Linked DNA regions of Anolis sagrei. The protein of the gene in region 1 purifies or fractionates together with the protein of each later gene. This does not show direct contact. Links are inferred from orthologs where the notes say so. Each region holds a gene or a part of one and is shown on either strand. Other genes may lie near its edges.

What was found.
Region 2: the proteins of NCL (region 1) and EBNA1BP2 purify together in Homo sapiens (affinity purification with mass spectrometry; 3 studies listed by BioGRID and IntAct, with this or other methods). This does not show direct contact. The link is inferred for Anolis sagrei from reciprocal best matches to the Homo sapiens genes NCL and EBNA1BP2.
Region 3: the proteins of NCL (region 1) and RRP1B purify together in Homo sapiens (affinity purification with mass spectrometry; 3 studies listed by BioGRID and IntAct, with this or other methods). This does not show direct contact. The link is inferred for Anolis sagrei from reciprocal best matches to the Homo sapiens genes NCL and RRP1B.

The regions. Positions count from the first base shown.
Region 1 is NC_090023.1:267,120,059-267,127,931, reverse strand, and holds the start of NCL (nucleolin), read right to left. Parts: upstream 3,009-7,873; 5' UTR 2,868-3,008; coding exon 2,850-2,867; intron 1-2,849. UniProt on the Homo sapiens protein: Nucleolin is the major nucleolar protein of growing eukaryotic cells. It is found associated with intranucleolar chromatin and pre-ribosomal particles. It induces chromatin decondensation by binding to histone H1.
Region 2 is NC_090024.1:183,206,420-183,213,668, forward strand, and holds the start of EBNA1BP2 (probable rRNA-processing protein EBP2), read left to right. Parts: upstream 1-4,182; 5' UTR 4,183-4,255; intron 4,256-4,785; 5' UTR 4,786-4,825; coding exon 4,826-4,900; intron 4,901-6,135; coding exon 6,136-6,219; intron 6,220-6,926; coding exon 6,927-7,093; intron 7,094-7,249. Other genes in the region: CFAP57 (cilia- and flagella-associated protein 57), read right to left, coding at 551-867, 3,840-3,996. UniProt on the Homo sapiens protein: Required for the processing of the 27S pre-rRNA.
Region 3 is NC_090023.1:75,837,212-75,845,129, reverse strand, and holds the start of RRP1B (ribosomal RNA processing protein 1 homolog B), read right to left. Parts: upstream 3,068-7,918; 5' UTR 2,984-3,067; coding exon 2,815-2,983; intron 2,441-2,814; coding exon 2,358-2,440; intron 304-2,357; coding exon 246-303; intron 1-245. UniProt on the Homo sapiens protein: Positively regulates DNA damage-induced apoptosis by acting as a transcriptional coactivator of proapoptotic target genes of the transcriptional activator E2F1.

The sequences.
Region 1 (7,873 bases):
TTCCAAGGAATATAAAGGCCAATTAATACAGGCCAAAGGTTGTAAAGGTTGAAATTGCCATGCAATGCAAAGTTTATAATTTTCTGCATGGCAAAAGGGGGTTAGACTGGATGGTCTTTGGGGATCCCTTCTAAGGAATATAAAGATATTCCTATTTAGATACAGTTAAAATGTTTAAAATAAATAAATAAATGGCAATTAATACAGGCCAACACAGTACAATATAATACTAAAAATTTCCTACATGGCAGAAGGGGGTTGGAGTGGATGGCCTTTGGGGGTCACTTCCAAGGAATATAAAGAGCAATTAATACAGGCCAACACAATACGATACTACAATTCCCTGTATGGCAGAAGGGGGTTGGATTAGATGGCCTTTGGGGGTCCCTTACAAGGATTAGAAAGTACTATCAATACAGTCCAACAAAGTATGATACAATGCAATAAAATAATATGAAAAGGTTGTGATTCCCTGTATGGCAGAAGGGGATTGGAGTGGATGGCCTTTAGGGGTCCTTCCAAGGAATATAAAGGGCAATCAATACAGGCCAACATGGTACAATACAATGGTTCAAATTCCCTGCATGGCAGAAAGGGGTTGGTCTGGATGATCTTTGGGGGTCCCTTCCAAGGTTTAGAAAGTGCAATGCAATACATAAATTTCGCACATGGCAGAAGGGGATTAGACTGGATGTCCTTGGGGGGGAGGGGGTCCCTTCCAAGGATTAGAAACCATTATCAAGGCAGGCCAACACAGTACAATACAATGCAAAGGTTCCAATTTCCTGCAAGGCAGAAGGGGGTTGGACTGGATGGCCTTTAGGGATCCCTTCCAAGGAATATAAAGGGTAATCAACACAGTACAATATGATATAATAATACTACAATTCCCTGTATGGCAGAAAAGGGTTGGACTGGATGGCCTTTGGGGGTCCCTTACAAGGATTAGAAAGTACTATCAATATGAAATGGCTATAATTCCCTGCATGGCAGAAGGGGGTTGGACTGGATGGCCTTTAGGGTCCCTTCCAAGAATTAGAAAATACAATACAATACCATGAAAAGGCTGTAATTCCCTGCATGGCTGAAAGGGTTGGACTGGATGGCCTTTAGGGTCCCTTCCAAGGAATATAAAGGGTAATCAACACAGTACAATATAATAAAACACTAAAATTCCCTGTATGGCAGAAGGGGTTGGACTGGATGGCCTTTGGGGGCCCCTTCCATGAAATATAAAGAGCAATTAATATAGGCCAACACAGTACAATACAATATAATACTACAATTCCCTGCATGGCAGAAGGGGGTTGGATTGAATGGCCTTTGGGGGGTCTCTTCCAAGGAATATAAAGAGCAATTAAATCAGACCAACAAAGTACAATACAATATAATACTACAATTCCCTGCATGGCAGAAGGGGATTCGACTGGATGGCCTTTGGGGGTCCCTTCCAAGGATTAGAAAGTACTATCAATACAATAATATTAAAAGGCTATAATTCCCTGCATGGCAGAAGGGGGTTGGACTGAATAGCCTTGGGGGTCCTTTACAAGGATTAGAAAGTATTATCAATATAACATGAAAAGGTTGTAATTCCCAGCATGGCAGAAGGGGGTTGGACTGGTGGCCTTTAGGGATCCCTTCCAAGGAATATAAAGAGCAATTAATACAGGCCAACACAGTACAATACAATACAATTCCCTGTATAGCAGAAGGGGGTTGGACTGTACGACCTTTAGGGGTCCCTCACAAGGATTAGAAAGTACTATCAATACAGTCCAACAAAGTACAATACAACACAACAATATGAAAAGGTTGTGATTCCCTGCATGGCAGGAGGGGTTGGACTGGATGGCTTTTGGGGGGCCCCTTCCAAAGAATATAAAGAGCAATTAATACAGGCCAACACAGTACACTACAATATCAATACAATATGAAAAGGCTATAATTCCCTGCATGGCAGGAGAGGGTTGGATTGGATGGCCTTTGGGGGTCCCTTCCAAGGAATATAAAGGCCAACACAGTACAATATAATGCAAAGGTTTGTTTACATTCCCTGCATGGCAGAATTACAGGTTGGACTGGAGGGTCTTTTTAAGGGGTCTCTTTTTCTTTTGAGCAAAACCCAAAAAGGGGGTTGGACTGGATGGCCTTTAGGGGTCCCTTCCAAGGAATATAAAGGCCAACACAGTACAATATAATGCAAAGGTTTGTGTACATTCCCTGCATGGCAGAATTACAGGTTGGACTGGAGGGTCTTTTTAAGGGTCCCTTTTTCTTTTGAGCAGAACGCGAAAACCACGTGGAAGCCCCGGAAGCGAGGCCTAGGCTGAGCATTTCCTCTCCTTCCTTCCTTCCATCACCCACGTGGTTTGAGATCACGTGGCTTCGGGAGAGCAGGCGGGAGAGGGAGAGTGCGCGCGCACACCGCTCCTTGCTCGCTCCTCTTTCCTCCCAGCCCCTCCCCTCTCCGTTGGCTGCGCGCGCCGCTCAACACAGAGAAAAGGGGGAAAAAAAGAAAGAGCGCGGGCGCCTAGAAACTCCTGCGCGTATGCGCGCGCGCTCGCTCTTTTCCTTTTAGAAGAAAAAAAAGGGGGGAGTCCTAGAAACCGCCGAGCGTTCTATTTCGATCTGCGCCTGCGCGCCAAAATAAATAAATAAGTAGTAGGAAAAGGGAGAAGGGGAGTCTTGAAACTGCTGCCTCCTCGCTTGTGTAGAAGCGAAGGAACGGGAGGCCTTGAAACTGCTGCGCACGCGCACAAGGCCTACTAAAAAAAAACCCTTTCCCCCCTTCATTCGTTGGGTTTCCTTCCATTCTAAATGAGTGAGGCTAGGCCTCAAAGCCTCACCTTGGCGAGTTTCACCATGATGGCGGCGCTGGGAGATGCCCGGATGTGGAGCGAGGCCTACAAGGAGAGAGAGAAAGAAGGGACCGCCGCGCTCTCCAGTCTCCGCCAAAAGCGAAAAGAGCGAGGTCGAGGGCTCGCCGCGCTCTCCCTCACGCCCCACGCTGCCGCCTCAGCCAATGGGAGACCGCGCAGCCCCAAGCTCCGCCCACTCCGGGCTTTCCCCCACACCAATCCCGCGTCGACTCGCTCCGCCCAATCAGACACCGCCCCTGAACTCGAGGGCGGGACGACACGTCGCCGAGCCAATAAGATGACAAAACTGGGAATTCTACGCTTCCTGATAGGTCCGTTTCGCAGAGACGGAAGTGGTAAGGAGAACACGTGGCGGCGCCCTCTGCCTGCAACCGCGTGGGGTCGGCCCATTTTGTGGCTCTGGATCCGGTTTGTTCTTGTGTGTCTGTAAGCCAGGCATGGGCAAGCTTGGGCCCTCCAGGTGTTTTGAACTCCAACTCCCACAATTTCTAACAGGCACAATTCCTAACAGCCCTCCAGGTGTTTTGGACCCCAACTCCCACCATTCCTAACAGCACTCTAGATGTTTTGGACCCCACCATTCCTAACAGTACTCTAGGTGTTTTGGACTCCAACTCCCACAATTCCTAACAGCCCTCCAGGTGTTTTGGACCCCACCATTCCTAACAGTACTCTAGGTGTTTTGGACCCCACCATTCCTAACAGCACTCTAGGTGTTTTGGACTCCAACTCCCACAATTCCTAACAGCCCTCCAGGTGTTTTGGACTCCAGTTCCCACCATTCCTAACAGCCCTCCAGGTGTTTTGGACTCTTAAACCCCACTATTCCTAACAGTCACAATTCCTAACAGCCCTCTAGGTGTTTTGGACTCCCACCTCCCTCCATTCCGAACAATCCTCCAGGTGTTTTGGACTCCAACTCCCACAATTTGTAACAGCCACAATTCCTAACGGCCCTCAAGGTGTTTTGGACTCCAACTCCTACCATTCCTAACAGCCCTCCAGGTGTTTTGGACTCCAACCCCCACAGTTCCTAACAGCCACAATTCCTAACAGTTCTCCAGGTGTTTTGGACTCCAGCTCCCACCATTCCTAACTCCCACAATTCCTAACAGCCCTCCAGGTGTTTTGGACTCCAACTCCCACAATTCCTAACAGCCCTCCAGGTGTTTTGGACTCTTAAAGCCCACTATTCCTAACAGCCACAATTCCTAACAGCCCTCCAGGTGTTTTGGACTCTTAAAGCCCACTATTCCTAACAGCCACAATTCCTAACAGCCCTCCAGGTATTTTGGACTCCAACTCCACATTTCCTAACAGCCCTCCAGGTGTTTTGGACTCTTAAAGCCCACTATTCCTAACAGCCACAATTCCTAACAGCCCTCCAGGTATTTTGGACTCCAACTCCCACATTTCCTAACAGCCCTCCAGGTGTTTTGGACTCTTAAAGCCCACTATTCCTAACAGCCACAATTCCTAACACCCCTCCAGGTGTTTTGGACTCCAACTCCCACCATTCCTAACAGCCACAATTCATAACAACCCCCCAGGTGTTTTGGACTCCAGCTCCCACAATTTGTAACAGCCACAATTCTAACAGCCCTCCAGGTTGTTACCTCACTACCTCTGAGGATGCTTGCCAAAGTGCAGGCGAAACCTCAGGAGAGAATACCTCTAGATCAGGGGTCCTCATACTTTTTAAAAAGTGGGCCAGATCACAATACCTCAAATTGTTGGAGGGCCTAACATGAATGAATATTATGCACGCAGCACATATTTTATTTGTAGTGCAAAAAACTACAATAATTAAAATGAAGAACAATTTTAACAAATATAAACTTATTAATATTTCAATGGGAAGTGTGGGCCTGCTTTTGGCTGATGAAATAGGATTGTTGTTGTTGTTGTGTGCTTTCAAGTAGTTTCAGACTTAGGTTGACCCTGAGCGAGGGCCGAGTAAATGACCTTGGAGGGCCACATCCGGCCCCCGGGCCTTAGTTTGAAGACCTCTGCTCTAGACCATGGCCATACAGCCCAAAAAAAACTACAACCCAGCCCTCCAGGTGTTTTGGACTCCAACGCCCACTATTCCTAACAGCCACCATTCCTAACAGCCCTCCAGGTGTTTTGGACTCCAGCTCCCACCATTCCTAACAGCCAGTAGGCTGTTAGGAATGGTGAGAGTTGGAGTCCAAAACACCTGGAGGGCTGTTAGGAATGGTGGGAGTTGAAATCCACAACACCTGGAGGGCCCAAGTTTGCCCATGCCTGTTCTAAGCCCTTCCACACAGAATATCATGGCAGACCATCCACAATATCTGCTTTGAACAGATATTGTGGATATAATCTGGTTCAAAGCAGATAATGTGGGATTTTATTCAGCTGTGTGGAAAGGTCCTCTGAATGTCAATATCAGTTTTAGCCTATAAAGCCTAATTTACAAAATTTAGCCTATAAATATCCATATCAATTTTAGCCTATAGAGCCCTAAATGGTTCTGGCCCAACTTACATGTCCGAATGCATCTACCATTATGAATCATCTAGGACCTTAAGATCGTCTGGGGAGGCCCTGCTCTCGTTACCGCCTTCGTCACAAGTACCTTTGGCGGAGACAAGAGACAGGGCCTTTTCGGTGGTGGCTCTTTGGCTGATGAACACTCTCCCTATAGATATTAGATCGGCCACTTCCATTTTAACATTCTGGAGAAAAGTCAACAAGCGTTTGCAATTACAGAGTAACTGACATAGGACAATGGAACGACTGGAACGACAAGCTGGAATGTGTCCAGAGGAGGGTGACTAAAATGATCAAGGGTCTGGAGAACAAGCCCTATGAGGAGCGGCCTAAAGAGCTGGGCATTTTTAGCCTGCAGAAAAGAAGGCTGAGAGGAGACATGATAGCCATGAGAGGAAGTCCTAGGGAGGAGGTAGCAAGCTTGTTTTCTGCTGCCCTGGAGACTAGGATGCAATGGAACAATGGCTTCAAACTACAAGAGAGGAGATTCCATCTGAACATGAGGAAGAACTTCCTGACTGTGAGAGCTGTTCAGCAGTGGAACTCTCTGCTCTGGAGTGTGGTGGAGGCTCCTTCTTTGGAAGCTTTTAAACAGAGGCTGGATGGCCATCTGTCAGGGGTGATTTGAATGCAATATTCCTGCTTCTTGGCAGAATGGGGTTGGAGTGGATGGCCCATGAGGTCTCTTCCAACTCTTTGATTCTATGAAAGGAGATTCCATCTGAACATGAGGAAGAACTTCCTGACGGCGAGAGCTGTTCAGCAGTGGAACTCTCTGCCCAGAGTGTGGTGGAGGCTTCTTCTTTGGAAGCTTATAAACAGAGGTTGGATGGCCATCTGTCAGGAGTGCTTTGAATGCAATATTCCTGCTTCTTGGCAGAATGGGGTTGGACTGGATGGCCCAAGAGGTCTCTTCCAACTCTAGGATTCTATGACTAGACAATGAGTCCGGACAACATTTTTAACAAGGAGACACTATGAATTTATATTTTATTGATTTGTTTAGTTTTTGTTATATGTTATGTTTTTAAATTGTATTTAAGACATTGTAAGCATTGAATTTTGCCCTGTTAACTGCCTTGAGTCGCCTATGGCCTGAGAAAGGTGTATACAAACAACAAATAAACAAATCCACAATATCTGCTTTGATCTGGGTTATCTGGCAGTGTAGACTCACACAGCCATACGACCCAGAATATCAAGTCAGATAATGAATGAATGCAACTTAATTTCTATCCTGCCCTGTTTATCTCCGCAGCGGGGACTCAGGGCGGCTTAAAACATAGGCCCCTTTCATGCATCTGAATAGAACCCCACATTTTCTGTTTTGAACGGGATTATATGGCAGTATGGATTCAGCCCAATTCAAAGCAGATATTGTGGGGTTTTCTGTTTTGATATTCTGGGTTATATGGCTGTGTGGAAGGGCCCAGAGTCCACATTGCCTGATAATCCAGTTCAATGTGGATTTTACACAATTGCAGGTGTTGATTTCCAAATTTGGCTTCTTTCTGTGCTTCGGAATGGATTTTCATATCTGTTGGAAGACTGATACTTGAACATCAAATCCAGATTATCTGCTTTGGAATGGTGTATCGGTCATATAATCCAGCTTGAAGCACATAATGTGGGTGATCTGCTTATATGGCAGTGTAGATCCAGCCCAATGTTCCTACTACATTGTCCTTATATCCTAGGATCTGATCCCAGGTTGTCTGCTTTGAACTGGATTATATGCGGTCCCTTCCACAGAGCTGTATAAATCCACATTGAACTGGATTATGTTGCAATGTGGACTCAGATAACCCAGTTCAAAGCAGGTATTGTGGATTATCTACCTTGATATTCTGGGTTATATGGCTGTGTGGAAGGGCCCAAAGTATCCACTGCCATATAATCTGGGATATTTATTTTTATTTCAAATATGTGTACCCTGCCCTTCTCAACCCCAGGGGGAGGGGGTCGACTCAGGGCGGATAAATAAAATAATCTGGGATAAGATAATATGGGATCAAATCCAGGGATATAGAGGAAGTGTAGAAGGGTTCTACATGTCAGGCCCCCTCTACAACATCATATATTCCAGATCAGGGGTCCTCAAACTAAGACCCGGGGGCCAGATGCGGCCCTCCAAGGTCATTTACCCGGCCCTCACTCAGGGTCAACATATAGAATCATAGAATCAAAGAGTTAGAAGAGACCTCATGGCCCATCCAGTCCAACCCCCTGCCAAGAAGCAGGAAAATTGCACTCAAATCACCTCTGACAGATGGCCATCCAGCCCGTTTAAAAGCTTCCAAAGAAGGAGCCTCCACCACACTCCAGGGCAGAGAGTTCCACTGCTTAACAGCTCTCACAGTCAGGAAGTTCTTCCTCATGTTCAGATGGAATCTCCTTTCTTGTAGTTTGAAGCCATTGTTCCATTGCGTCCTAGTCTCCAAAGAAGCAGAAAACAAGCTTGCTCCCTCCTCCCT
Region 2 (7,249 bases), on another chromosome or scaffold:
AATCTCTACTTTTCTATACCTGAGATATTCCATTAGAAATGTTTACACATAATGCCAATTTCATGAGCAGAGCCGAGCCATCATCAAAATGACTAACCTAAGGCAGCTTCATATACTGGAATTTCTAGACTGGATTGTTAGTGCTTTGAAATCTGTCCTGCGCTTCTTTATAGTGATGGGGTTCTATCACAACAATCTCAAACCGAGACCTAATTCTAGGTTTGGACTATTTTGGGGACATGCAATTTATGAACAAAGACTACTGGATATACATTCAGTAACTGGAAGAGCAGGACAGTACTGCCTTAAGTGTAACTGCTGATCTAAAATATGTGTGTACCCTGCCTTCTGAGTACAGGAAAACATTGTGCAAAAGGAAGTTTGGAGCTTGGATTTCATGTTAACACCATTGTAACAATCACAGCTTCACTAACTGTGGTCTCCAATTGTGAAAAAGTATTCATTGAAGTAATAATGCAGTGAGAGTAAGTACCTGAGTATTATTTAAATGTGGCCTACCCAGGATATTCATCTTTGTCTTTCATCTTACCTGATAGAGGGGATTGTTCTGAGCATCAACCTTAATAATAGCCATTGTTCTTTGCTTTTCCCACATCCAATAGGCAAGGTGTGAATCAGGGGCCCCTGTCTGTGCCACTAGATACTTAGAATCCGGGGAAAATGCCAGGCTGATAAATTCTTGGACAGAGAAATCAAAGGAGTTCAGGACCTTTCGTTTCTTGCATGGGACAGAGGACAGTTCATAAACTGTGATAGTAGGTTTATCCTGGAGTGTCTCTGAAATGGCCAGATAGCGCCGATTTGGACTAATTGCCAGTGCAAGCATCCCTTGACTTTTCTCTGAGCCTGTAAAGCAAACACACATGTGCACATACAAGCAAAACTTCCATGAGCATAACCTGGAAACTTAAACATTTTTGTTATCCAAAATGACAATAAATCAATGCATGTTGGTATTGTATGGGAGACTGCCAATGAATATCAGGTGTGTGGGTTACATTTCAAAGGAAGGAACTGGCAGAACCATATCTACGGGTACAGCTACACTGTAAAATGCAGATAGTTTGACATCACTTTAATTGCCATAGTTCAATGCAATTGAACCACCAATTCACAGCAATGATGGGGGAAATCTTCAATGCATTAGACTAGGGCAGGCATGGGCAAACATCTGCCCTCCCAGTGTTTTGGACTTCAACTCCCACAATTCCTAACAGCCTACTGGCTGACAGGCACAACCTGGGGATCACAACCAGATACAGTGAAGACATCTGCCCTTGCACTTTGCTACGCTGCTGCTGAGTATGCAGGCCCAGTGTGGAACACATCTCACCACGCTAAATCAGTGGCTCTTAATGAGACATGCTGCATTATCACGGGGTGTCTGCGCCCTACACCATTGGAGAAATTACACTGTTTAGCCAGTATTGCACCACCTGACATCCGCCGGGAAGTAGCAACCAATAGTGAAAGGACCACGGCAGTAACATCTCCGGCCCATCCCCTGTTTGGATGTCAGCTAGCACGCCAACGCCTTAAATCAAGAAATAGTTTTGTAAGATCTACAGAGACACTTACTGGAACACCTAAGCAAACGAGAGTCCAAAAGTGGCAGGCTAAAATCCAGAACCTCAATTAATGGCTGATACCATGAGAGACTCTCTCCTGGGCACACAGAAGACTAGGCAACATGGAAGGCACTGAATGGACTGTGCTCTGGCACCACGAGATGCAGAGCCAACCTTAAGAAATGGGGCTACAAAGTGGAGTCCACGAGTGTGGAGAAGAGCAAACCACAGACCACCTACTACAATGCAACCTGAGCCCTGCCACATGCACAATGGAGAACCTTCTTATAGTAACACCTAAGACACTCCAAGTGGCCAGCTACTGGTCAAACAACATTTAATAGAATACCAAGTCTGCAAACTTTGTGTAAAATACAATACAACCTTTTGGTTCGCTCCTGACACGATAAATAAATACCAGTTGTTAGGAATTGTAGGAGTTGCAGTCCAAAATAACTGGAGGGCTGAAGTTTGCCCATGCTGGGACTAGAGCAGTATGTATACTGAAACAGACTGGAAAAGGCCCACTCCACCCTGTGCCTTTCCAGAATAGGAAAACTCCAATAACAAGTCCCAGAAGCACTTTATTAGAATTAAGATTGCTGGCACACTGCACTTACTCTATAATCCTTACATATCACCTGTCACTTCAGCACTTTTGATCTGTACCCATTACTCTGGCCCGGCCCAGTGTCTTGGTGTATTGCTTATTGCTTGTTGTGTAATTCTGCTTTAACTGTTTTTAATTTTTTAATTTGCTTTAGGTTGTGTATTGTTATGTTGTGTTTTGAGGCCTTGGCCTTTGTAAGCCCCATCGAGTCGTTCGGGAGATGCTAGCGGGGTACAAATAAAGTTAATAATAATAATAATAATAATAATAATAATAGCCTCTGGAAACACACTCACCAGTGACTTAAAATATTAACTTGTTGAATAGACAGCAGAAGGCAAAACAGAACTGCCTCTGAGTTCTGAACAGGGGCAGATTTTGGCATCCCTTTTGGGAAAAATAGCATTCATCAGGTCTTTTTCCTCTACACTGTGATTGCTTCCATTCACTTACACCCTACTCGCTTACACTCTCTGTCTGGGTCCAGCCCCCCAGCCCCAGCCCATTTCCAAAGGGGAATGTAGTATGTAGTACAGTGGTTCTCAACCTGTGGGTCCCCAGGTGTTTTGGCTTACAACTCCCAGAAATCCCAGTCAGTTTACCAGCTGTTAGGATTTCTGGGAGTTGAAGGCCAAAAACATCTGGGGACCCCAGGTTGAGAACCACTGGACTAGAGGAATGTGATGAAACACAGAGGTGTGGTGATACAGTGTTATCCAAAGGAAGTAGGATAATTAGGGGGTAAATATCAACAGATTGGGGCTGGATATACTCTGCAATATCAAACAGCTTGGAACTGCATTATATGGCCAGCTAGACATTGAACTGCATGATATGATAGGTTTACACTGAATATGTAAGAGCTGGACCTTAGGGAAGGCTGAGCGAAGGAAGATCGATGCTTTTGAGCTGTGGTGTTGGAGGAAAGTCCTGAGAGTGCCTTGGACTGCGAGAAGATCCAACCAGTCCATCCTCCAGGAAATAAAGCCCGACTGCTCATTGGAGGGAAGGATACTAGAGACCAAGTTGAAGTACTTTGGCCACATGATGAGGAGACAGCAAAGCCTAGAGAAGACAATTATGCTGGGGAAAGTGGAAGGCAAAAGGAAGAGGGGCCGACCAAGGGCAAGATGGATGGATGGCATCCTTGAAGTGACTGGACTGACCTTGAAGGAGCTGGGGGTGGTGACGGCCGACAGGGAGCTCTGGCGTGGGCTGGTCCATGAGGTCACGAAGAGTCGGACTGAATGAATGAACAACACCACACTGAATGTGAAATTTGTAGAATAGTTTTAGTAGTTGTGTGTTTGTTTTAGATTTAGTTTTGTTAGATGTCATAGTTTTAGTGGCTGAGAGGGAAAAGCAAGGGGCCTGAGACTGTTAGGAATTGTGGGAGCTGAAGTCCAAAACACCTGGAGTGCCGAAGCTTGCCCATGCCTGATGGAGATGGATTAAAACAGTGGTTCTTAACCTGTGGGTCCCCAGGTGTTTTGGCCTACAACTCCCAGAAATCCCAGCTGTTAGGATCTAACTGCTGCTACGATCTCTGGGAGCTGAAGGCCAAAACACCTGGGGACCCACAGGTTGAGAACCACTGGATGAAAACATCAATACACCTGGAGGGAGGTGGCTAGATTTACCTGGGATGAACTTCTGCCATTTCTGCTCAATGTGATACTTCACGCAGCTATTCCCCGCGGGGTACACTATGATCTGCTCGTCAAAGAAACAAATGTTATTGGCCACGCGAGACTGGAAGCCAAAGATGTGCAGCGCTTGGGCCACGATCACCGACATGGCGCCGCAGGTTCGGAGCCTGTGCCGGAAAAACGAGAGCAACCACCGCCTGACAGTCCGTCTCGGCCTCGCTTGCTCTGTCTGCAGCCTTGAGTCGACCAGGGAGACAACGCTTTACAGCCGGTTGCTATGGCAACAGCGTCCCGGATGTAGCACCCTCGAAAAAGATGGCCGAAACGAATCGGAAATGTCCCGTAGGACGTCACATCCGTACCGGAAGTAGCTGTTGTATGGTTTCCTCGTGTTCAGTCGGTGGGAGGTAAGTGTGCTTCTAACAGGCTGGGGTAAACTTCGGCCCTCCAGGTGTTTTGGACTGCAACTCCCACCATTCCTAACAGCCGGTAGGCTGTTAGGAATGGTGGGAGTTGTAGTCCAAAACACCTGGAGGGCCAAAGTTTGCCCATGCCTCGCATAGAGTGCAGTTTAAGACTAAAGCGATATTGAACTGCGTTAATTCTACAGTGTAGATGCACCCTGTTTCCAAAATTGGGGAGGAAACAGTTCAGACTAACTTTATACAAAGATAGTATTTTTTTTTCAACCTATACAACATTTAATCACCTATCTTTCTTACTCTAGTCTGAATGAATCATAATGGGATGCATATTTATTATTAGCGATGGTTAGATTGGATTTTTATGGTATATACCTGTATTGGCCAGTATTTTGGATTGCTTGCATTAATAAGTTGTTTTGATCTCGTGCATTTAGGTTATTTGTGCAGTTACTCCCATTTTAGCTCATGTTCCTGGGGGATGGAATGTGTTTTCTAACTATTTTGCCTTTCAGTGCAGCTTAGTTGAATCCAGTTATCATAAAAGGATCTGAGATGCCCCACATGGAAATGGACGAAGATTGGTCGTCGTCCTCAGATTCGGATGAGTCTCTTGTTACAGACCGTGAGGTGAGTTTGGACTGTTATTGTTTGTTCTGTGCAGGAGTGGGGGCGGGCCACTTTTTCTCTCTTAGGGGCATGGCTGAGTAGGGGATCTGATAATATACTGTTTCCCAAACTTTGGTTCTCCAGGTGTTTTGGACTTCAGCTCCCACAAGTCCTAACTGATGGTAAAATGGTTGGGATTTCTGGGTGTTGAAGTCCAAAACACCCGGAGGACCAAAGGTTGAAAACCACTGTGATAAACTAGTGACGTAAAGGACTGAGAGTTGTAGATGAGTTCCATATCAGTTTGGGATTGGCCCTGGTAACCATTTCTCTTCATAGGCTGCGATGGAAGGCCATTTTTTCATCTTGTTTAGAGCAAGGATGCTACATTGTTGTAATAGCTGTGTGTAGGATGCACAACTTCATTTCACAGTAATAGAAGCTGGAAACTGTATTTAAATATATCAATAACACCTAATGATATTTCATCTTTATGAACAATATTTTAAAGGTGCAAAGAACTTTATGTAGATTATCTCGATTAGAATAATAATAATAATAATAATAATAATACTTTATTTGTACCCCACTACCATCTCCCCAAGGGACTCGGTGTGGCTTACATGAGGCCGAGCCCAAAATACATCAATACAAGCAATAACAACAAAAATAAAAACAATTAAAATAAAGCTCATAAACAAAAAAGCAATAAACAGTGACAGTAATACAACACACATTTAAAATCTATGGCTGGGCCAAATCAAAGTTTAAAAAAAATAATGTTAGGCATGAACAAGATAGGAGAGAATATCCGATTAAATAGTGTTATTTTTGTATTAAAGGCAAGAAACGGAGTATGAAAGAACCTCATTGTGTCAAAACTTGAGGAAAAAAGATTTGACCAAGTGTCCACCAAATGACAATGCAGTGTCAGAACATGTCAATATAAAATAGATTTCTGCATTGACTATTTGGAACTGGAATGTGTGGTTTGGTCCTTCAGATAGTCAACTGCAATTTCCTTTCCCCCTAATTAGCATACCTTGTGGAGAAAAATTATGTGAATTGTAGTCTAATGACATCTGGAAGACTACATTATATCTTTTGATCATTCTCCTCATTCTCCTTATGTTTCTATGTATTGAGCATTTACACATTCCTTTCCGTTATCAAAGGGGTGACTAAATAAGCTTTTTTGATATTTGTGTATGGTAACACTATCCAAGAAAATGTACATATAAGATTTCTTTATGTAGCTCCAGCAGGCGTTTTCTAAAGGATCACTAAAGCCAGGCTTAAATGTTGTGCTTGAGGGACGGCCGAAAATTATCAACAATGTGGTGAGTCCTGTATGACTGTGACCCATGTGGAATCAGTTCATGTGTGTGGTTCATCTACTTCTCCAAGTGGAACATTTTGATTACTGAAAAAAACCCCAGTATTTTGCCAGAATGAAGTCATTGCAAATAAACTCCGGATGGTATTGAACTGGAGGTGGGGGTCATTTAAATACATTGGTATCTATTTGCTACACATAGCAAAATCAATTTGAAACATTCTGTCAAGGATATAAAATGTGGTCATTTATTCTTTTTCTTCAAGACAGAGAAGCTTGCATCAATTTCTGTTGATGTTGTCCTTGTTGAGGCAGAAGCACCTTCATTTTTGCTTATAGCTTATGACTAGGAAAAGCTTTTATTTTTAAAAAAACCTGGTGTCTCCTTGGCTAGGAAGCAGTAAATACAGTGTGTGATATCTAATGGGAATCTTAAGGGAATGCTTTTATCAGCATAAGATCTAGTTGATGGTTTTAGGGATGGGTGGGGATTTTCATACGATTGTTTTAGTTGTCATGACAGCACAGCCTTTCCCCAAGGTGCTGCACTAGAATCTACATCATGCAGATCTAGCATGGCCAATATTGGCTGAACATGTTGGAAGAAGTTGTAGTTCAACATGTGTGAAGAGCACTAGGTTGGAAAAAACTATTAAATAGTGTATGGAAGTTCTTTGTATTACTCTAATCCTCACATCATATTCTTCCTAGAATGGACTGAAGCAGTGCTTATCTGAGTTCCAGAGGGACTTGGACTGGGTTGAAAGGCTTGATCTTACCTCTTACCTGCCAACAAACACCACGAGTGCTCCTTCTAATCAAACCACTGACAATGATGCTGATGATCCTGAGGATGACTTCAAAAGAGAAATGAGTTTGTAAGTCTATTTCTTCTTGAGTTTCCTCACTGTAATTGGAAGCTTTGTGTGTTGTATTTTATTTATCCTCTTAACATAACAAAAGTTGGAACCCTAAGTTAAACCCTTGTGCCAGCTGAACTGGTTGAACAACAGGTTGGTAGTTCAGATCTGGGG
Region 3 (7,918 bases), about 190 Mb from region 1:
TGTGTCTTGTCCTGATGTGAACTGCTTATATGGTTTTCTTTGGACATTGAATATTTGCCATATTTATTGGAAACCACCCTAAGTCCCTTCGGGGAGATAGGGCGGTCTATAAATAAAGTTTATTATTTAAAGCACGACCTAAAGAACCAAGCTGGATTTATTCATGAAGTGTTTGTCACCACAACATGAAAGAACCTCGACTAGAAGCCACTGAATACACAAGAAAAATAAATAAATGTACTTACTAGCATCCATATTCTCGATGACATGTACAAGCTGGGATATATTGTTTGATAAAGCCTCCTAAAGAAAGAGAATTTTAGTATACTATACTGCAGAAGTAGATTCCTCTTCCTTTTGAAATAAAAACCCAAACATAAACAGCCCTTTGTGAATTTCTTCCAATTAAATAATCAAAAAACAAAGTCAATTACACCAAAATCAAGTCAATTAAACCAGGCTTTTCAGTCACATGTAAAAACAATCTGAAAGAGGAGAGAGCAGAAGACTGAATATGAAGCCTAAACTGCGTGGAATGACAGATCCAGAAACAGCATATGCGACTACAAGAAACTGAAGCTACAGATGTACTTTCAAATTCTGGAGTCGCTATAATAATATAATAACTTTATTCTTATATCCAGCCTTCATATCCCCGAAGGGACTTGGGGCGGCTTATATGTGGATCAAGCCCATTATAAACAAAGATTACAAAGTAGCACAATTAAAAACATATAACAGTCAACTATATTAAAACAATAAAACCAATAAAATGCAAGACATCATAAAACATAAACATAACAAACAACCAGTAGCCGGAAAAAGTGGGCATGTGCAGATATGAGACTAATAAGGCAGGAGAAGGGCTTGTGCAAACTGTAGGGCCAGGGCTGGGAATAAAATGATAGAGATCCAACCAAAAGATTAGGGCTAGGCAGACTTGATCCGTAGCTAACACATACACACACTTTACAATTCATCCCACAGAAATATCAAGTCTACTCTTGGAACCCTTTCCCCCAAAAACATAACGCATATTAATGTATTGTATCATAGTGACTTAAGAAATTTAAATTAGAAAAAATTCTTTATTTAATGCCTAGGTAAAAGTAAACAGTTATTTCTTCCTTTATGCATATACAATGCCAGATCTACAGGCCTTCATATTTCAGGATACATGGGAACATATTGCTGAGGCATGTTTGTAGTGATAAATAATATGCCATAAACCAATGGGATAAACAGATTTATCTATCCTAGCACCAATAAAGCTGGAGATAGCTTAGACAGGGTACAGGGAGCCCACAACTCCTTTGTTGCGCCAGCTCCACTGGCTGCCAATTAGCTTCTGAGCACAATTCAAAGTGCTGGTTTTAATCTACAAAACCCTATACGATCCCAGCCCAATTTACCTGTCCGAACATCTTCTCCCCTATGAACCATCAAGGCTGTTAAGATCTTCTGGAGGGGCCCTTGCTCTCGGTCCCGCCAATTTTGCAATCGCGCCAGGTGGGAACGAGAGACGGGGGCTTTTCTGTGGTGGCCCCCGGCTATAGAATTCTCTCCCGAATGAGATCAGATCTGCCCCCTGCCTCCTGACCTTCAGGAAGCTAGTGAAATCCAGGCTATGGAATGAAGCATTCCCAGAATAATGGCCAAGACCAGCAATAGACTAAAGTTATTGACCACATATGAGGACCTAGTTGGACATGATTTTATCTTGGTGAATTGGCTTATATGTATTTTATTCTATATGTATTTTAATCTATTGTTGATGAATGATGTTTTAGATTGTACTGTTAGCATTGAATCCTTGCTGTTAGTTGGTCTAAGTCCCTCTACGGAGGTAGAGAAGATCGGGATACAAAAGTTGCAAATAAATAAAAAAATAATAGACCTTACACAGGTTCAGTATTCCTTCTGTGAAATGCTCGGGACTTGACATGCAATAACAATAAAATAATAAAATTCTATTTTTACACCACTTCTCTCCTCGAAGAGACTCAGGGAGGTTGTTCCCCTGAAATATATTACACATTTCAGGTTTTTAAAAATTATTTTGAAATACAGGAAATCCATGAGATACAGATATCCAACCTACATATGACTCCTAGTTACAAACGGGGCGAGACAACAGGAAGTGAGAGAAATCTACCCCTTGGAAGGGAAATTCACTCCTTAAAGAGCTATCATGGAGAAAATATTCCAAAATCAGGGCAGCCCCAGAGAGAAGCCTCTGCATAGAACGTGAAAGATTTATTTTCTAGGAAAGAGGCATAGCAATTGACTACACATTAACAAACAGCGTAATTACATCTTTGTATTACAATTTTGCATTGACATTTCTGTTGGCCTACCTGAAGGAGGGGTTTATCCTGCATCCACATGCAGTAAAACAGGCCTTTCCATATTTTCAATAATTCTTCTTCACTGAAGCTCCCTGAAGGCACCAAAAGCAAACTGAGCATTAGAGAAAGCCACAAATTTCCAAGTGCTTCACATAATGTGTATCTATATATCATAGGATAACGTGTGGCTTGATAATTTTGTATAAGGGGATATTCAATAAGACTCTAGGGCAGGCAAGGGACAACTTGGGGCCTCCAGGTGTTTTGGACTCCAACTCCCACCATTCCTCACAGCCTCAGGCCCCTTTCTTAAGCGGCTGAGGGGGAAAAGAAAGGGTCCTGAGGCTGTGAGGAATGGTGGGAGTTGGAGTCCAAAACACCTGGAGGCCCCGAGTTGGCTCATGCCTGCTCTAGACCAACGTAGCTGACAGGGCAGACTCCTCCACGTGCTCCCCGCGCCTCTCACCGGCCGGGTTCTGGGTCCGGAGCGTGATGTAGCCCCGCAGCTTCTTCAGCGCCCGGTCCCGGATCCGCTTCTCGTTGGCGGCCAGCCGCTGGGCGAACTGGATCTCCGGAGCCTGCGCGGCGGCAGGAGAAGAGGAAGAGGAGGACGCAACGGCGGCGGGAGCCATCATTCGCGGCCGAGCATCGCCCTCCTCCTCCTCCTTGCGGAACGCAACGCAACGCCCCCGGGGGCGGGGCCAGGCCGTTGCATCAAGCGCCTGCGGATGACGACATAGAACCTCTCTGTCGCGAGCGTTTTACGTAACCCGGCTCGTTTTCAAGAGGGCCTTGCTGCGCGTGCGCGGAGGGCAGTTGAGCGATGGCTCTGCTAGTTGTGTATCTTCAAGCCATTTCTATAGATTCATAGTTTGACTGAGAAACCTTCTTAATCTGGTGTCAAACTGCATTAATTCCACCCAAAGTGGAATGGAAATGCTCTACTACACACACACACACATATATAAATAATTTTTATTCCTCTTTGGATGAAATCAATGTTGTACTATATCTATAATATTTATTTATTTATTACTGCGCTTGTATATCGCCGTTTCTCAGCCAAAATTGGCGACTCAACGCGGTTTACAACTCTACAAACAATCAACAATATTCAGTTTAAAAAGCATAAAAACAACATACAATACATAGTATTGGGCCACCAATACAATCCAATGCATCTCTTAACTAGAATCGTAGTCCAATTTCATCGTCCATGATTACCAGTCCTTAATCATCAATTTCTTTGCACCGGATTAACCGAATGCTTGTTTGAACATCCATGTCTTCAATCTTTTCCGAAACACCATCAGCGAGGGGGCTGATCTTACCTCTATGGGGAGGGCGTTCCAAAGCCGAGGGGCCACCACAGAAAAGGCTCTGTCTCTCGTTCCCGCAAGCCGCACCTGTGAAGCAGGCGGGATGGAGAGCAGAGCCTCCCCAGAAGATCTTAGGGTCCTGGTGGGCTGATAGGCCGAGATATGTTCGGATAGGTAAGTTGGGCCAGAACCGTTTAGGGCTTTAAAGGCCAACCTTGAATTGGGCCCGGTAGCAGATCGGCAGCCAGTGGAGCTGGTGCAGCAGAGGAGTTGTATGCTCCCTGCGCTCCGCTCCCGTTAGTATCATGGCTGCCACCCGTTGGACTAATTGGAGCTTCCGAGCCGTCTTCAAGGGCAACCCCACGTAGAGAGCGTTGCAGTAGTATAATCTAAATGAGCCCCCGGTGGCGCAGTGGGTTAAAGCACTGAGCTGCTGAACTTGTTGACCGAAAGGTCACAGGTTCAATTCCGGAGAGTGGCGTGAGCTTCCACTGTCAGCCCTAGCTTCTGCCAACCTAGCAGTTCGAAAACATGCAAATGTGAATAGATCAATAGGTACCGCTTCGGCGGGAAGGTAACGGCGCTCCATGAAGTCATACCGGCCACATGACCTTGGAGGTGTCTACGGACACATAGGGAAACATGTCTTAGAAATGGAGATGAGCACCACATGTCTCTACTCTTAGCAAGATTGGTCATTGCTATCCTCCCAAGAAGGAGACATCTGATTTCCTGGCTGCAGTCTGTGTCTGCAGTCATCTTTGTGCCTAGAAATACAAAGTCTGTCACTGCCTCCACATTTTCTCCCTCTATTTGCCAGGTATCAACCAGTTTCTTCTTTCACCTTGGTTATAAGGCTCCTCAGCTGCTCCTTGCTTTCAGCCATAAAGTGGTATCATCTGCATATTTAAGGTTGTTAATGTTTCTTCCAGAAATGTTAACTCTAGCCTTGGATTGGTCAAGCCTCGCATGCCGCATGTGTTATGCATACAAGTTGAATAGGTAGGGTGGGAGTATAAAGCCCTGCATACTCCTTTCCAAATCTTGAACCAGTCAGTTGTTCTGTGGTCTATTCTGCTGTTTTTGGTCGTTATACAGATTTCTCAGGAGACAGGCTTGGTATCCCCATACATCCAAGAATATGCTACAATTTATTATGATCCACACAGTCAAAGGCTTTAGAATAGTCAATAAAACAGAAATAGATGTTTTTGTGATACTCCCTGTCTTTCTCCATTATCCAGCGGATATTGGCAGTGGTTCTGGCCCAACTTACTTGTCTGAACTGTGCCGGCAGGACTGAAGATCGACAGGTCACAGGTTCGAATCCGGGGAGAGGCGGATGAGCTCCCTCTATTAGCTCCAGCTCCTCATGCGGGGACATGAGAGAAGCCTCCCACAAGGATGATAAAACATCAAAAAAAAATCATCCAGGCGTCCCCTGGGCAACGTCCTTGCAGACGTCCAATTCTCTCACAACAGGAGCGGTTGCTCCTGACACGAAAAAAAAAAACTTGTCTGAACGCATCTGCCTCTACGTCCCACCTCGTAACCTAAGATCACCCGGGGAGGCTCTGCTTCTCGCTTCCACCAACATTGCAAATGTGGCTGGTGGGGACGAGGGACAGGGCCTTCTCGACCCCATCCCTCCTGGCTTTCAGGAAGAAAGTAAAATTGTGGTTGTGGAACCAGGCCTTTGGTCAGCAGACATAAAGCAGCACTTTGGTTGAAATGGACTGGAAAGTCGATTTACATGAGGATACGGTTTTATTGGTAATTAAGATTTTATACTGTTTAATTAATGGCTTATGTATTTTATGTATTGTAATGGTTTGATGGTTTTGTTTAATGGTTATTGCATTAGATATTCATGTAACGGCATCGACTTGCTGCCAATGTAAGCCGTCCTGAGTCCCCCTTTCGGGTAGAGAAGAGACAGGATATAAATACCATAAATAAATAAATAAATAAATAAATAATTGTTCTGCCGCCTTTTCTAAACCCAGCTTGTTCATCTGGCAACTCTCTCTCCATGTTTTGCTGGAGTCTTCCTTGCAGGATCTTGAGCATTACCTTGCTGGCATGTGAAATAAGGGCCACTGTACGAAAGTTTGATCATTCTTTAGCGTTTCACTTTTTTTTTTGTTCATTCATTCAGTCGTCTCCGACTCTTCGTGACCTCATGGACCAGCCTACGCCAGAGCTCCCTGTCGGCCGTTACCACCCCCAGCTCCCTCAAGGTCAGTCCAGTCACTTCAAGGATGCCATCCATCCATCTTGCCCTTGGTCGGCCCCTCTTCCTTTTGCCTTCCACTTTCCCCAGCATAATTGTCTTCTCTAGGCTTTCCTGTCTCCTCATGATGTGGCCAAAGTACTTCAACTTTGTCTCTAGTATCTTTCCCTCCAGTGAGCAGTCGGGCTTTATTTCCTGGAGGATGGACTGGTTGGATCTTCTCGCAGTCCAAGGCACTCTCAGCACTTTCCTCCAACACCACAGCTCAAAAGCATCGAGACTGGACATTGCTCTCCTCCCAAGAAGTAAGCGTCTTCTGATTTCCTGGCCACAGTCTGCATCTGCAGTAATCTTTGCACCTAGAAATACAAAGTCTGTCACGGCCTCCACGGTTTCTCCCTCTATTTTCCAGTTGTCAATCATTCTTGTTGCCATAATCTTGGTTTTTTTGACGTTTAGCTGCAACCCGGCTTTTGCGCTTTCTTCTTTCACCTTGATTAGAAGGCTCCTCAGCTCCTCCTCGCTTTCGGCCATCAGAGTGGTGTCACCTGCATATCTGAGGTTGTTAATGTTTCTTCCAGCAATTTTCACCCCAGCTTTGCATTCATCCAGCCCCGCACATCGCATGATGTGTTCTGCATACAAGTTAAAAAGGTTGGGTGAGAGGATGCAGCCTTGCCGTACGCCTTTCCCAATCTTGAACCAGTCTGTTGTTCCGTGGTCAGTTCTGACTGTTGCTACTTGGTCCTTGTACAGATTCCTCAGGAGAGAGACAAGGTGGCTTGGGATGCCCATCCCACCAAGAACTTGCCACAATTTATTATGATCCACACAGTCAAAGGCTTTAGAATAGTCAATGAAGCAGAAGTTTTTCTGAAACTCCCTGCTTTTCTCCATTATCCAGCGGATATTGGCAATCTGGTCTCTCGTTCCTCTGCCTTTTCTAAACCCAGCTTGAACATCTGGCAACTCTCGCTCCATGTATTGCTGGAGTCTTCCTTGCAGGATCTTGAGCATTACCTTACTGGCATGAGAAATAAGGGCCACTGTACGGAAGTTTGAGCAGTCTTTCGCATTTCCCTTTTTTGGTATGGGGATATAAGTTGATTTTTTCCAGTCTGATGGCCATTCTTGTGTTTTCCATATTTGCTGGCATATGGCATGCATCACCTTGACAGCATCATCTTTTAAGATTTTAAACAGTTCAGCTGGGATCCCATCATCTCCTGCTGCCTTGTTGTTAGCAATGCTTCTTAAGGCCCATTCAACCTCACTCCTCAAGATGTCTGGTTCTAATTCATTCACCACACCGTCAAAGCTATCCTCGATATTGTTATCCTTCCTATACAGATCTTCTGTATAGTCTCGCCACCTTCTCTTGATCTCTTCAGCTTCTGTTAGGTCCCTGCCATCTTTGTTTCTTATCATACCAATTTTTGCCTGAAATTTACCTCCAATGTTTCTAATTTTCTGGAAGAGGTCTCTTGTCCTTCCTATTCTGTTGTCTTCTTCCACTTCCATGCATTGCTTATTTAAAAATAGTTCCTTATCTCTTCTGGCTAACCTCTGGAATTGCGCATTTAACTGGGCATATCTCCCCTTTTCACTGTTTCCTTTTGCTTTCCTCCTTTCTTGGGCTACTTCCAGTGTCTCAGCAGACAACCATTTTGCCTTCTTGGTTTTCCTTTTCTTTGGGACGTACTTTGTTGCCGCCTCCTGAACAATGTCTCGGACTTCTGTCCATAGTTCTTCTGGGACTCTGTTTACTAAATCTAGTCCTTCAAATCTGTTCTTCACTTCCACTGTATATTCGCTAGGAATGTTAGTGAGATCATATCTAACTGGTCTGTGTATTTTCCCTGATCTCTTTAGTTTTATTCTAAATTGGGCAATAAGAAGTTCGTGATCTGAGCTACAGTCAGCCCCAGGTCTTGTTTTCACCGACTGGATGGATGTCCGCCACCTTTGGCTGCAAAGGATGTAGTCAATCTGATTTCGGTGTTGACCGTCTGGTGAGG